Linked DNA regions of Notamacropus eugenii. The protein of the gene in region 1 interacts with the protein of each later gene in a pairwise test. Links are inferred from orthologs where the notes say so. Each region holds a gene or a part of one and is shown in the gene's direction. Other genes may lie near its edges.

The links.
Region 2: the proteins of LEMD3 (region 1) and SMAD9 interact in binary tests that used the Homo sapiens proteins (3 or more experiments, as listed by UniProt). The link is inferred for Notamacropus eugenii from reciprocal best matches to the Homo sapiens genes LEMD3 and SMAD9.

What each region holds. Positions count from the first base shown.
Region 1 is NC_092874.1:241,937,935-241,945,594, forward strand, and holds the start of LEMD3 (inner nuclear membrane protein Man1), read left to right. Parts: upstream 1-4,653; 5' UTR 4,654-4,757; coding exon 4,758-6,270; intron 6,271-7,660.
Region 2 is NC_092876.1:98,422,040-98,429,971, reverse strand, and holds the start of SMAD9 (mothers against decapentaplegic homolog 9), read left to right. Parts: upstream 1-4,922; 5' UTR 4,923-5,206; intron 5,207-5,226; exon of another isoform or gene 5,227-5,536; intron 5,537-5,584; exon of another isoform or gene 5,585-5,639; intron 5,640-7,932. UniProt on the Homo sapiens protein: Transcriptional modulator activated by BMP (bone morphogenetic proteins) type 1 receptor kinase. SMAD9 is a receptor-regulated SMAD (R-SMAD).

The sequences.
Region 1 (7,660 bases):
GTAGATCAAAAAGGTAGAACTAGAGAGGGCAGAGTCACATAAGACAAGGTATAAAACAGCCTTAAAAGTTTCAGAATAGTCAGGTAGAATGAGGAGAAAAGATCATTGTTTGGCAATTAATTGGTAGTGACCTTTAAAAGGGTAATTTCAATAGCGTAGTAGAAACCAAGGCCAAATTACACTAAGTTGAAGAATGTGTAGATGGGGAGACGTAGAGGCAGGGAAGGTAGAATACTCTTTCCAGAAGTATGGCCTTGAGCGGGTACTATATGCTTTAGAGTGGATGAAAGCAAAATAGGAGTTAATCATGCTTGCCTTAATGTTAATATTATACTATTGGGGATGATAACAAGGTGTTAAACTAACTGTAAAAATTCAGACTAAGCCAAGTGATTCCTTTATGAGGTACAAATAAGTACCTGAGTGAATCAGAAGGGAGCAATTATACTGGAGAATTAGGAGTCATACCCCAGGGTGACTCTTAAAAGACATAGTCCAGTTAGTCTGAGGTACTTCAGGCTTTCTGATGGCTGCAGTGGACAGAAAGTTGGGCTTGGAGTCACAAAGATTTGAGTTCAAATCAGGCCCCTGTCTGCCTCAGTTTTCTCAACTGTAAAATGAGGATAATTACAGTACTTACCTTATAGGATTATTGTTGAGGATTAAGTAAGATAATATTTGTAAGTGTTTAGAATTGTGCCTTATACACGCTTAATAATTATTTGTTCCCTTCCCTTTTCCCTTCTTGATAGCAAGATTGCTTGGAGTATAAGGAGTATCAGTACAAAAGCCATGTTAATAATCTGTAAAGATCACATATAGCTAAGGATACTAACTCAACCAGCTCAGGGTTGACTGAGTGTTCATGCCTTTTACTACTAAGAAACCTCACTGGAAGGGTAAGTTCACTCTTATGTCATAAAATTTCCTCTGAGCCCTTGCAGCACACAGGCCACCTTCCATTTCTCCAACGAACCACTGAACCATTCAGGGCAATCTAAATGGATGTCTTCATATACCCTCTCTCTAGGACAAGCAGATTAACCTTCCCAAAGACTACAACTCTAAGGTGGTAATCCTTTATCTCCTTTTCCCCTTGGGCTCCCTAATGGAAGCTCAAAACCTCTCCCCAGAAAAGTCTGTTTACTTTTCTATATTTTAAATATTAAAAGAGAAGAGGAAAAGAGATCTAACATTGAGATGGGTGCTATCTCCTCTGGCTGGTAGCACCTAGTCATAAATACTAGCGAGTTATAAATCCTTACATCCTTTCCCAGAACAGATTGGGAAACCCATCTACACAAGGCCAATAGGAGGAATAAAGGAAGTAAATAGGAGTGGTTGAACAATCTTAACTCAACACTGCTATAACTCTCTATGTTTTCTTTTTCTTCCTAGTTTTGAATAAATTTTAGTTTTAAAGTATGTTTTTCTTCAGTATATATTTTTATAAACTTCAGCTCATTTGAGGATTTTAGCCTTCCAGACTCTAATCATAAGCAGTTACCGCTCTTTAGTAATTTTATTTATGTGTCCCTATCGTTCTAGTTAATTTCTGAGAAAGCAAAAGTGACAGGATCTCTTGAGGAAACAAGGACAGGATTAATTTCCACATCTTCAACACAGTGAAAATTGTCCATCTTTTGGCATACTTTTTCTTGGAACTCAGAAGGAGGAAGCTCTTGGGCCATATAAAGACTTATCTGAAACTGTTTATCCTCCTTCTCAAAGAGGACCATGACATCAGAGAAATGATGACATGATGTGCACTTGACTTTGTTTTAAGTGAGAGAGGGCTTGCAAGGTCACCAGCCTCACTTTCTCCTCCTGAGCCATCTGGATCCAATGACCAGATCTTCCTCAGGATGACTGGAGACAGCCCAGAATGCAATGGGAGACCTTGGCCTTTTAGGCTAAGGCCTTTTCAGTACTCACTTAGAGTGAGGTGATGCTCATTCAGTTGAATAGACCTGTATCTGAAACTACCTTCTTGCATTACACATAGAATCCTTGTCTTTCAGTTCAAAGGCAACTTACATAACAACTCCATGTTCAGTTTAACTTTTACCATAGTGGAAGATTTGAAGAAAGGTCTTCCGTGGTTCCAAGGCCAGCTCTCTAAACATTAATTATTGTTTGTCCTTTGTTCTCAAAGAGGACCATAGTATCAGGAAGGTGATGCCATGACTTGTAAGTGAACTGGATTTAAATGAGGGAGGGCTGTGCAAAGTCACCAGTCTCACTTTCTCCTCAGGATCCAACTAGAACCAGTGGCAAGAAATAATTCAGGATGACTGGTGATGGCCCCAGATGTAGTGGGAAACCTTGGTCTTTTTAAGCTAAGGGGTTTAACGGGTCTCAGTTTGACTGAGGAAATGCCCATCCAGTGAATAAGGCTAGGTAAGAAATGAGACAAAATATGGCCTCTTTTGCCTAATTAAAAAAAAAAATCAATCTGGGAAGGGAAGAACCTCAGGGTTTTTGACCAAAACAGAAACAAATTCTACTTACATTTACTCTGAACCAATCAGGACCCAAATAATGACCACTAAGTGGGGCCTGGGTTAGGACCTACTGTCAGCCAACCAATGAGAACCAGAGTGAATTGGGTTTAAGGTATGGTCATTAAGAAAGAAATCTAGCACCTAAATCCCAAGATATCTTCAGAGGTTTCAAGGATCAAAATTTATATTCCTTTGTGTAGAGTACCCAGAAGTGAGGGTATAATACCCAAAATGGACAGAGGGAAAAGGAAGAAGGGAAAAGAAGGGGAGAGGAAAACAAGAAAGGAGAGGGTAAGAGCTGTCTTGCTCAACTAGAACTGATCAGTTTGGTTCAGTGGGCAGCATGTACTATTCACAGTTTTGTCCTTCATTAGGAAGAGGATCATAGCACCAGGAAGGTGATGCTGTGACTTGCAAGTGAATTGCATTTAAATGAGGGAGGGCTGTTTAAAGTCACATAGAATCTTTTTTTTTTTAATTCAAAGGCAATTTATATAACAGCTCCATATTCAGTTTAACTTTTACAGTGGTGGGAAATTTGAACTCAGGTCTTCCTGGGTCCAAGGCCAGCTTTCTAATATACTAATATCGTAAAACTGAATCACATCTTTGTAAGGAAGAAAATAAATCCAAGAGCTTGGAAACATCCCATTAGACCTCACTTGCTTTGTAATGTAATAAAATAATGATAATAATACTAATCATGATAGCAAACATTTATATACTGCTTACTATTTGCCAGATCCTTTGATAAGTGCTTTACAAGTGGGGCTCAACCAGAGAATGCATTTTGCTGCCTCCAACAATCTTCTTATTTATCTATGCTAGCCAGACTCTAGTGCCTTTTTTGCACTGCTTTCATCATCCTGTTTGATGACCACTGGTCAGGAATGCTGGAATAAGGACTTGGCTGAATAAGATGGCTACTTGTGTCTTTTTCAAACGAAATTCTGTGATTCCATTACAAGTTATAAAATTTGCACAGTCACCTAGCCATGACATGGCACTAAAACATGCATATGTATCTCTGTTCCAGACATGGGATAGATACTATGTAGCTAAGGCAAGTTTGTAACTATTTTCCTCTCAACATGCAAAAACAATACATTTCTAGTCCCAAAGGTTCAGATTTAAATCCTCAGGGACCGGATGAAATGGTATTCAATTTAAAGGTTTTCCCTGAGAAAATATTTTTTGGCAGAAGCCCAGTTCTAAGTATTCTCTTGCAGTATTCAGGGGATGGAGAAAGCAAGAATCAGTGGTTTTCAGGGCAAACTTGCCGGTTGTTTACTCAGTGGAACAATGGTTTACCACCTTCAGAAAGTCCCTGGGGGAGAGGGGATGGTACGAGCTCAGGTTCAAGGCTCCTCTACTCCCAGAAATTCTTCACTCATAAAGTTCAACCCTGGACACCTGCTTCCAGAGGAGTAAATGACCAAAAAACGGTTTCTGCAATCTTCTCCGAATTATAACCACAATGAAATCAAAGCCTTTAAAAGATTCTCAAAATCAGATTCGTTTAATTCGCTAGCCTTTCAAAAATAAACAAGGCTGGGCATCTCAGACCCAGGGGTATTTTTCAAAAATGTGGATGGGGGGCTGGCAAAGGAAATTTGTGGGTTCCTTACAGTAGGTTGGGGGCCTGGCAGCCTTGACCTTAGAAAAGCAGGTTAGCTCTCGTCCAGAAACTCATCAGTCCTCCTTTTCTGATTCTTCCTTCTCCCTCCCCTTTCTCCTTCTCCCTCCTCTTTTTTCCTCTTCCTCCTTCTTTGGTAAAAGGCCCCGGCTGGGGAAGTAACGTTTTCTTGCATTAAAAAGACAGAAAAAAGCTAAGGTCATCCATGAAGGGAAGGAGAAAGTGTCCGGGCTACGGGAGACAAAGAGAGCCGGGGCTGCCGGGCGGACCCTCCCCGTCCTCCTCTCGAGGGGGTCGGCCGAGCCCGGCGAGGGGGCGGCGGTCAAGGTGCTCTCGAAGGCGCAGCCCAGGGTCGGGCGCCGGAGTCCGCGCACGCCCCCCCAAGCCGAGCCAGCCCCCTCCCCGGAGATGCGCGCGCCGACCGTCCGCGCGCTCCCCCCCTCCCCGCCGCCGCACCTTACGTGGGCCCTTCCCGCTCAGGTGAGTCCTTCCCACGCCTCCCATTGGCCCAGGCGCCGCCGGCTCGGGAAGGCCAACGCCGACGGGTCTAGTTCAGGGTCTAGGGTGGGCGCGTCACTTCCGGTAGCGCGGAGCTTGTAAAACACCCAAGAGAGAAGATGGCGGCTGCAGCGGCGGCTTCGGCGGCTCAGCAGCTCTCGGATGAGGAGCTCTTCTCTCAGCTCCGCCGTTACGGCCTGTCTCCCGGCCCGGTGACGGAGAGCACCCGGCCCGTCTACCTGAAGAAGCTGAAGAAGCTCCGCGAGGAGGAGCAGCAGCAGCCGCCGGCGCCGCCGCAGGAGCAGCAGCCGCCGCCGCACCGGACCGGGGCCCGCAGCGCCAAGACGCGGAACAGCAACAACAATAACACGGCGGCCGCGGGGGCGCCGCCGGGGGCGGGGGCGGGGGCGGCCGCCGCCGGCGCGGGGGGCAGGCCGCCGCCGGGCGACCTCTCGTACCTGCGGACCTCGGCGGCGCTCGGCCGCGGCTCGGCCTCGGCCCCCGATAACCCGCCCGGAGCCGCGGCCGCCCCCGCCCTGGCCGGCGCCGGCGGCGGCAGCAAGGTGCTGCTGGGCTTCAGCTCGGACGAGTCGGACGCCGAGGCCAGCCCCCGGGACCAGGCCAGCGGCGGCAGGAAGGAGCGGGCGGCCCTGCAGTCCCGCGGCGGACTCAAGCCCGCGCCCCTGGCCGACGGCGAGGCGGGCCCCGGCCAGCCCGCCGAGAGGAGGAAGCCGCACGCGTGGTGGGGGGCCCGGAGAGCCGCGGCCGGCCCGGACCCCCTGGGGCCGCCGGGGAGAGAGGGCGCGCCGGAGGACGCAGAGGAGGGAGCGGACGGCGGCGGCGAGAGGGAGCCGGAGGGCGAGGAGCTGCGCTGGAGCAGCCGGCCCGTGAACGGCAGCCGGCTCCTCCCCTTCAGCTGCCGGGAGAACTACTCGGACTCGGAGGAGGAGGAGGAGCAGGACAACGTGGCCGTCGCCCGGCCGCTCTTCAGGGACGACTCGCTGCTCCGGTCCCGGCCCAGGCGCGGCCACGGCAAGCCCCCCGCGGGCTCTCGAGGGGAGGCCTCGCACCCCGCGGCGGCCGGCGGCGGCTGCCCGGGAAATGACAGGGCCGCCGGCGGTCTAGACCGGAGGCGAGGTCCGGAGGAGGGAGGGGGAGGCGACCCGCTGGACTGCAGCCCCATTCCCAGATACCGCCTGACCTCCAAGAAACAGCCCCCACTCCTGCCCTCGACCCTCCCCGACGGGGATCTGGCCCTGGATCGCAAAACTAACAACCACATCGGTCGGGGGGGTTTCCACTTGGACCCCTCCAGGGTCTACGCCAACAGCCTCCCGCACAACCCTCTGATGGGCTCAGCCTCCTCCCCCTCGCTCAGGATCAATCACTCCAATCACACGGGCTCCAATCATACCTACCTGAAAAACACCTACAACAAGCATAAGCTTTCAGAACCGGAGGAGGAACTTCTCCAGCAATTTAAACGGGAGGAGGTGTCCACCACGGGTGGCTTCAGTGCCCACTATTTATCCATGTTTCTCTTGACTGCTGCCTGCTTGTTTTTCCTGATACTTGGGCTCACCTACCTCGGCATGAGAGGTACTGGAGTGTCTGAGGACGGGGCACTCAACAGTAAGTATTGGTCAGTGAGTAAGACCTCCCTTTCCCCTGCCCCAGTAACCCATTTTGTAGTGGGGGCATCTTGGGATAATGGAAAGGGAGTTATTGGCCTTGGAGGCAGCCTGGGTGACTTAACTTCTCAGAGCGAGGTACATGTGGGAGGAAGGTGCTGATCTGCCTTGGCTGACAGAATTTCCTTCACCAGGAGTTCCGTGCACCAGTGAAATTCACAGGTCCAGGCCCTAATTCCTAAACATATTGTAATTGTCATTTTACTTTAGGTGACTCTTGGATCAGAAACAAGGTTTGAAGTTGTGAACATCAAGTTGTTTGTCAAACGTTATATTTATCTTACAGCCTGCCATTGGAATGTGTTAACTTGTTTGGGTTTGAAAATTCTTTATCTACAGATTATGCAGGAGGTCCAAAACACCCCAGAAGAAGAGCAGAGTCACCTACACGATATAAGTAGTATATTCAGTGGTATAATGGAAAGAACAATGGATTTGGAGTAAAAAAAAAAAATCTGAGTTTAAATTTAGGTTATGCTTTTTGCTTCCTGTGTGATCCATGGGTGAGTCAGGTAACCTCTCTGACCCTCAGTTTTCTTGTCTCTGAGATGAGAGGTTGGACTCTGACTTTTAAGGACCTTTCCAACTTTAAATCTGCTTTCTGTTTTGAACTGTAATATACCTGCTTTTGGTAGATGGAATTTTAAAAATAATTGGCAAGTGTGTCTTACTTTGTGGAGCATCTTATTTATCCCGAAAACTTCCTCTCAGATTGAGACATCAGTGCTCTTTTAAATGTATTAAACATGAGATTCACTAATATGAAAAATAATACTTTAATGGAGAATAGAAACAGCATACCCACCTATGTGAATTTCTGGAGTTAAGAATGCATCCCCTCCTCACCTGGGATGAGTGCTGTTGATAAATACAGTTACAGTCATTTGCTTTTTATAATGAGATTTTTGGCTCTTACACTAAGCAGTTACTATAGTATGATTTATGCTCATTCTAAGTAGCTCTGAGAGCATAATTTCTGGCTCTTTAGCAGGGTGATTAGTGAGGCTTTTTTGGAGATGTGGTGAATCATTTCCCCTGTACATTGTCCAGAAAAATTACTAGCAAATCTTATATTGGGTTATAGGATCATAAATTTAGAGCTGGAAGGGACCTTGGTGGTTATTAGTCTGCTCCCTCATTTTACAAATTAAGAACTAAGGAAGGCCCAGAAAGGTTCAGGGTTACACAGCCTCTGATTTCCAATCCAGCACTCTTTTTGCATGCTCTGAAAGATTAGTGCTTGACTTAGAAACATTTAGATGTTGTTCCCCAAACTGTCAACAGTAATTGACTTCTGCTGTGGTATTTTGGAAGTCAATTCAACGATTGTA
Region 2 (7,932 bases), on another chromosome or scaffold:
TCCAGATCCAGATTGGGTGAATCTTTGATTGCAAGCATCGATCTACCTAACCAAAGTTTTAAAACAAGGTACTAGGAAATGGCAAAATGTGATTATTTTGAGTTTCATCTCTATTATATCTTAAATTTTTCAGTCTTTGGCTAATAAGCAGTGAGATGACTAAAAAATAAGAAAATACAGTTGAAAGGTAAAGCAAAGAAGTCTGGGTAATTTACAAACTGAATAATACAGGACAACCCACACTCACTGCTAGTGCAATAATCACTCTGGATTACCCTCAGCAGACTGTGCACACTGAACCTTCTGCCCTGAATATGGAATTTCCTAGTTCCTTTCTAAGCATTCACCATATCTCAGTGTACTTTAAATACATGCTATTTGTATAAATAATGGTTGGAAGGGAATAGTGAATAGAGGCTAACTTCTAAAAGGGGGTAAGGATCATATCTGTAAGTACAAATATTTACCAGTAAGGAAACAGGGAGTATACAGAAAAAGCAGGCTGTGAGCACTCAAAGAATTTGTAAATCCAGGTCCAACAAGAGACGATGAAAGAATTCTGAGAACGTAAAGAGTTTGTGCCAAAATCACAAGTAGCTAGTACCACACAGAGTTTATATTTTCTTAGCTTTAAACCCTATGTATATGGTATCCATATAAGATGAAAATTAAAATACAATTTAATACATTTTGTTTAAAAATTTTTTTCTTAAATAAACCAGAGTGGTCTTTTTGCTACTTTCACCCTTGGGTTCTTGGTTAGTTTTCGTGTATTCAATGCTGTTAAAACAAACCTAATTTAAAAAAAATTATTGATATCTTTTGCTTTTGTATCCTAATCATTTCTGGATATACTACCCTCTGTTCTCCCATCCTGGAATCCTCCCTTACAAGAAAATAACGGAAAAACAATTTGAGCAAAAACAACTGATCCAATGACCTTAGTCAAAAATATATTTGACATTCTACTTCAGTAGTTCTCCACTTCTCCTCTGAGAGGAGGTAGGTACATTTTTTAATCTATTCTCCAGGACTCTTGTCACTTTTTAATTACTTAGAGTCTTTCCCTTTAGTGATCTTGTATTTTACATTGTTGTAGTTGTAAAATCATAGATATAAACAGATAAGGGATCTCAGGGGCCCCCTATTCCAACTTCCTGGTTTTATAGATATGGAACCTGAGGACCATCCCAAGGTCACTTGAATAGTAAACATCAGGGAGGTATTTAAACCCCAGTTCTCTTAACTCCAAAGCCAGTGCTGATTCATTGTACCGCAGAATTGTAGCTATGACTGCGGTTCTCCTTATTTCACTCACTCTGGCTCATACAAATTTTTCTATATTTGTATTAATTTCTCACATTCATCTCTTCTTATTGAATAATAATATTCCTTTACTCTCATATAATAGAGTTTGTTTGTACTTCCTTTCCATCTACCTGCTTTGTTGTCAGATTTTTGTTTTTGTTTTTGCCATAATAGAAGGTGTTGTTATGAATATAGTTCTTTGTTTTTCTCTTACTTCTTGAAGGAATAGTTGGATTGAATTCTGTTGAATGTTTAACACCTGAGTAATGTGAAATTTTAGCAACTCTTAGGAACTGAGGTATTGGGAATCTAAGTTGAAAGCAAGAATTTGTTAAGAATATTATAACATTTGGAAATCAGAAGACATTTACCGCCACAGAAGCAGGTTGAGGCCATTTTGTTTCTGATACCTAACAGGTACAATCTGATGGAATCACAGAATCTAGGGCACGAAAGGCCAGCAGGTCCATTATATGTAAATATTTTGATGGGTCTGTGACCTCATCAGATTGGACATTACTTCACCCAGCACTGATTACAATCCCTCCACACCTTTTTCCAACAGGTGTGATTTTTGATTAAGTCCTTTGTAAATCCTACCCAAAGAGCCCCTGGGTGTCCTAGAGGCCTTCATTTCCCATTGAGCTGTCCTATCAGAATATAAGTTCCTTGAGCATGAGAACTCTCACTTTTATATTTATATCACCAGTATTTAGCACTGCCCAACATAGCCTAAAAATCTGTCAATGTGTTTTACATTTATTCATTCACTCATTCATTCATGACTTTTTCCATATCTTAACGGTGCCAATGTAGGACCGTATTATTCGTTTCTTGTTTTTCATCCTTGTCACATGATCAACCCAACTTCTTTTCTGATACCACATGGGCTTTACTAACTCATTTCTCCTTTACGGGGAACATGTTGCAAACACTTACACCCATAACATATCTTTCCATTGCTCTTTGAGGCACCTATCGTCTTGATTCTTCACAGACCATGGTTTTCAATAATGTGCTAAAATATTGCCTACTTGAAAATAATTTGCATTTAAAAAGATATGCTTTTGCAACAAGAAATAACTTGGTGTCACTGAAAGCATCATTCAGTTCCCCAAATACAAACTGGCTTGATATCCTTCTCAGTTCTGGTTTCTGTTATTGTCTGTTTTCAATACCCACCCAGGATTAGAATAATCATAGACTAACTCTGAACTTGTTAGTTCAACAATGTGTTCTAAGTATCTTGGCATGATGGAAAGGGTTCTGAAGTTGGAGTTGAAAAAATCTTGGTTCAAATCTGTCTCCTCTCCTCTGACGCTACCACCACTCTCTAGTTCAGGCCTTCATCAACTCACACCTTGATTATTGCCATAGCCTGTCTGCTTCAAATCTTTCCCCACTTCAAGCCATCTTCCATTCAGTTCCTAAAGTGATGTTCCTAAAGTACAAGTCTGATCTACTTAGTAAACTCTAGTGGCTTCCTTTTGCCTCTAGGAGCAAATACAAGCACTCTTTTTGGCATTCAAAGCTCTTCATAACGTAGCCCCTCCTGTCTTTCTAGTCTTTTTACACCTTATACCCCAACATGTGGGGCAGCTAGGTGATACAGTAGATAGAGCACCAGTGCAAGAGTCAGGAGGACCTGAGTTCAAATCTCACCTCAGACACTTGATACTCACTAGCTGTATGACCTTGGGCAAGTCCCTTAACCCCCCTAATTGCCTCATCCTGGGTCATCTCCAGTCATCCTGATGAATATCTGGTCACTGGACTCAGATGGCTCTGGAGGAGAAGCAGGGCTGGTGACCTTGTACAGCTCTCCCTTACGCAAAAAAAACCAAAATCAAGTGCAAGTCATGTCATCGTTTCTCTGATGGCGTGGTCTTCTTTGGCAATGAAGGACGAACACACAGCTTTCAACCCCTTACCAATTTGGTGACCTTGGAAGATCCACCTTTCTGGGGTTCAGTTTTTTCATCCATAAAAGTGCTAAAGGGTTGGATGCTTTCTAAGGTCTGTCCTAGCACTAAATCTATGATCTTATGATATTAGGAATGGGTTTTTTCCTCCATGCCTACTGTGTTTGTAGTATGGATGATTAAGCTAGTCTTTTTGGAAAATTATAAATTTCACTGAGGAGGCTTTGTGGTGTGTCTGGGTTCAGTGAAATTAGCACCATGCTATTTACTAACAGTAACATTTGGAGAGTTCAGATCTGGCCTTAGACACTTACTAACTGTGTGACCCTTACTAAGTCACTTACCCGATTTGCCTCAGTGCCCACCTGTAAAATGAGTTAGAGAAGGAAATGACAAATCACTACAGTATCTTTGCCAAAATAACTCCAACTGAAGTCATAGGACATGACTGAAATGACTAAACAAGGAAAGCATTTGGAGAATCTTGTCATCAATAGGGAATCGTTAGTACAGGGAATTGTTAGTATTTTTGAACAAGCTGTCAAAATACATTGAGTTGAGTCTTTTTCTGAGTACTGATTAGTTATTTTTTTCATGTGGGAAAATCCATGTGAAAAAACTCCTTCAGTTAATGCAGACTAACAATTTAGAATCTTACAGAGTTGTATTAGGAACTGAGAAGTTCAATATCTTTCCATATGTCACTTAATCAGTGTGTATCAGAGAGAGAGAGAGAGAGAGAGAGAGAGAGAGAGAGAGAGATGCTAAGTCATATTTTTAAAAATCAGCAAATTTGGGGTCGATGTCAGGGAAAATAATCCCTAACAATTAGAGCTGTTCAAAAGTGGAATAGCCTGCCTCTGGAGGCAATAGGTTCCCCTTGGTTGTAGGTCCTCAAGCAGATGCTAGATGATCATTTATAGAGTATATTATAGTGGGGAATCCTTATGGATGACGCTACACAGCTGCTGAGGTCTTTTCCACTCTTAAATTCCATGATTCTGTGATTCTACTCAGCTTACACACAAGTTCACTGGCCTCTTCCCGTGAGGCCTAATTCTCCCTTACTGACACCCTAAACATGCTTTCAAAGAGGGGCTGTCTTATTGGCTTCCACTAGAATGCAGTGGAGCAGGAACCGGAGGCCAGCCGTGTGTACCCTCCCTCCTGATACCATTCAAGGGTATATAGTTCTAGGTGGCAGGTCTGTGAGTTTTTAGAGTTAAGTTGCAGAGCAAGCCGGTTGTACATTAACACAGCCAGCGTGCATATAAGGTTGTAGCTTTATTAAATTGGCTAGTGTTACATATTATATGCTTATGTGTTAAGTAAATAAATACACTTAAGAGAAATCTCAATCCACATAATTATACTACTTTTAACCACGGCACGACACTCGGGGTGATTAGATTTTGTTTTGCTTGCGCCAACGCAAATCCATTGGATGGGGGTGGGGTGGAGGGGAATGGGTTCTCTTTCTAGGGCTTTTCTTTGAAAAACCCAATAAGGGACGAATTCAAGTAACTAAGAGTAATGCCTCTGAAGGACATCTCGGCACCCGGGCACCCTGCGGTTCCCAAGCGAATGTGTTTCAGTATTAAATATTTGTTAACAAACAACCTCCCGGTTGATCTTAGGTTCCAGGTAGAAAGAACAAAGAGATACCAGAGAAGAGGAGGAAGAGGCAGGGCTGGCTAGGACAAGAGATGAGGGCTCTGGGCTCTGGGAGCGAACTCATACTTCCTAGTATTTGGATTGTGGCGCTCCGGCTGGGTTTCGATTAAAAGGAACCAAAAGGAGCTGAAAGAGGGCTAGACACCATTGGGGCACGGACAGGAAAAGCGCCAGTGGCGGGGATGGCACAGTAAAGAGCTGGCGAAGGGAGAAGGCAAGGAGAGGACCTCCGGGCGCATCCCTCCCCGCCCCAGGGTCTCTGGCTCCCCTACATTTCCCGGCACGTGCACAAGCAGCCCGGGGTAGGGTTTTGCGGTGCTGGCCGTGTCCCCCGACGCCGGCCGGCCCCCCTCCGGGGCTGCCTCCCTGCCATCTCTCGGCGGGGGCGGGGGCGGGACCCAGCTAGAAAGGCTCTCTGGCGGCTTTCCAGGTCGGCGCACTAATACGGGCGATGAGGCTGCGAGGCTCCAGCCTGACTGACGCCGGTCGGGGCTGCTGGGGCTGCTGCTGCTGCTGCGGCTGGGGCTGGGGCTGGGGCTGCCGCCGATGCCCCTGCAGCCGCTGCCCCGCCGCTGTCTGTGTCTGCGCCGCCGCCGCCGCCAGGCAGCCCGTCCTCACGCCCGGGGCAGGCGGTGAGAAGCGCTTCGGAGAGGGGGGCACGCGCGGGGCACCCACCGGGAAGGAGGGGGCCGCCAGAAGAGGGTGGGGGTGGGGGAGTGGCATCACCAGGGACAGGTAAGAGACTCCCTCCGTACAAATATCTACAAGTTGTGCGCGGGGCCTCAGCTGCAGTGTCTGTGCGCGCCTGTGTGTTGTGTGGTGTGCGCGCGCGCGTGTTTATGCGTGGGGGAAATCGCTTAAGTTTCCCTAAAGCCAGGAGCATGCTTTGTCATTTTGCGTTGGGGTGGGTGTTGGGGGTGGGGTGGGAAGGAAGGGTGAGGGGCACTGCCCCTTTCCGCGGTGCCTTCTTTCAGACCGGGAGTTACAAACTTCGTTTCTGCCCCGGGGTCTTGGGACCCGCTGCTGTTTCCCCCTGCCCTGCGCATCTGCCCCAATGGCAGCCACCTGGTCCTCACAAGATCTTGGACCTTTAGAGGATGCTCCCCTCGCGGGATCGCTTGTCAGGAATCCGGGGTGGTGGGCGTGGGAGGGTTGGCCAGCCCCTGGCGGGTGGGCGTCCTCTAGGGGAGGGTTGCCTGTGGATGAGGTAGCTAGTGAGCTGGACCCCCAGCTCCTGCCCTGGCCCAGGGTTTGGGCTAAGATGCTCGCTTTCTTTCCCGCCACTGCCCGGGCATCTCGCTGATGCCTGGCACCAGTCACATTGCCGTACCAAACCTGGAGCTAAGTAACCGATTCCTGTGACTGAGCGTAAAGGAAGGGAAAGAGGGAATTTCGGATCGGGAGAGGGGTCGTGGTGCAGTGGGGGTGATTAACTGTAACTCTTTGGCACGATTAAAGAAATCTGCAGGGCAGGTGGGTCACCCCACGTACCGTCCGTTTTGTAGCTTACCTTTGAGACGCTTAAAAGAGGACAAGTGAGGAATGTTTTTCAAGTGTGCCCGAGCTAGCCCTTGGATTCGTTTCACTGGCTGCTGTATTTGTCTTTTCCCTTGCCTTTGCGGTTCCTTGCCAGGTCTCTGTTTGGGGGGAGTGTGTGTGGGGGGGGGAGGTAAGGAGGGAGAACAGATACATGAGACAAACTGACGCCAGTATTGTGATCGAAAGGAGGAGCGCAAGGGAAAACATTTTTATGGATGGCTAATCGCTGACAAGTATTCCCGTTATTATTCTCTCCCCCCACCCCCTTAAGTGGAAATTCAACATGACAGCTTAGAAATACTCCGTTGGTCCGAGTTCTTTTCTTTGCTCAAAATGGGACCCTTGAGAAATAGCCTACAAATGAAATAGATTAAATTTTGGTGTAAAATTGCATTTAAGTCATCCCTTACCCCCCCTAATTCACAAGTTGATGTAAACAGATAGAGCTGGGTGAAGTTCTCTTAATGGACCCGATTGACGGCTCCCATTTTAGTGATTTGCTGTATGTACTTGGATTGTTTTGGGAATGTGGTTTGCCAGGAATAATGATAGATAAAAGTGGAGATAATAATGTCACCTGCGGCAGGTTTGTGCATGTTAACATGGTAGTCCTGTCTTGATTAAGGAGATATCATTGTGAAGGGTAAAATCAGATGTTTACATTTTAAAAATAGATATTCTATATTTAAAATGGAATTAAAAATAAAACCAAAATAAATTGTGGCCCAAAATAGAAAACTTCTCAATGAATGAATTTTCCTATGCTTGAAGAAGTAGGAAACTGGGAACAAGATTTTGAAATATGTTCAAGCTGTGGTTGTCCAAGAAGGCCACTGCAGATAAGAAAATGATGAGATAGTTTATAAATAATGGCCTTCTAAAAATATTCATGACAAATGCATTTTGGTGCTACCAAACAGTTTTAAAATATAATCAAAGAAATGCAGACTTTTAGGAGGAAAACATCTCATCTTTGCTGGAAACACAATGTCTGCACTCAATGGTCATTTTATTAATCTGCTGTGATAGAGAAGCCCCTTTTTGGCTGACTAAGTGAATTTGCCAGATGCGTGAAGATTAGTGCTGATAATGTTTAGAGAACTTCAGTAATTCTTGACATGAATAAACATATTTTAAAGTAATGGTATCATATACTTAACAGAAAATCATTTGTATCTATATAATCTATAGGCAAACAAAATAATTCCAGGTTAATTCTTAAAATGCCAAATAATGATCATTTCTTAGTTGTCCTGTGATGTCATTGGAAGCTAGCTTGGTTTCTTTTCTTTTATTTTATTTTTCTTTGACTTTAAGAATTTCAGACTAACTAAAGATCCCCAAGTATTGAATTCAATAAAAGTCTTTTGGCTAAGATGTTGAGTGAGAACAATGATGTTTGCAAAGCAAGATTCCATTGGAGACTGTTTAAAAAACAACAGAATGATAAGTCAATTTGTTTAATTCAGTCTAGCAGGTGGTCAGTTCA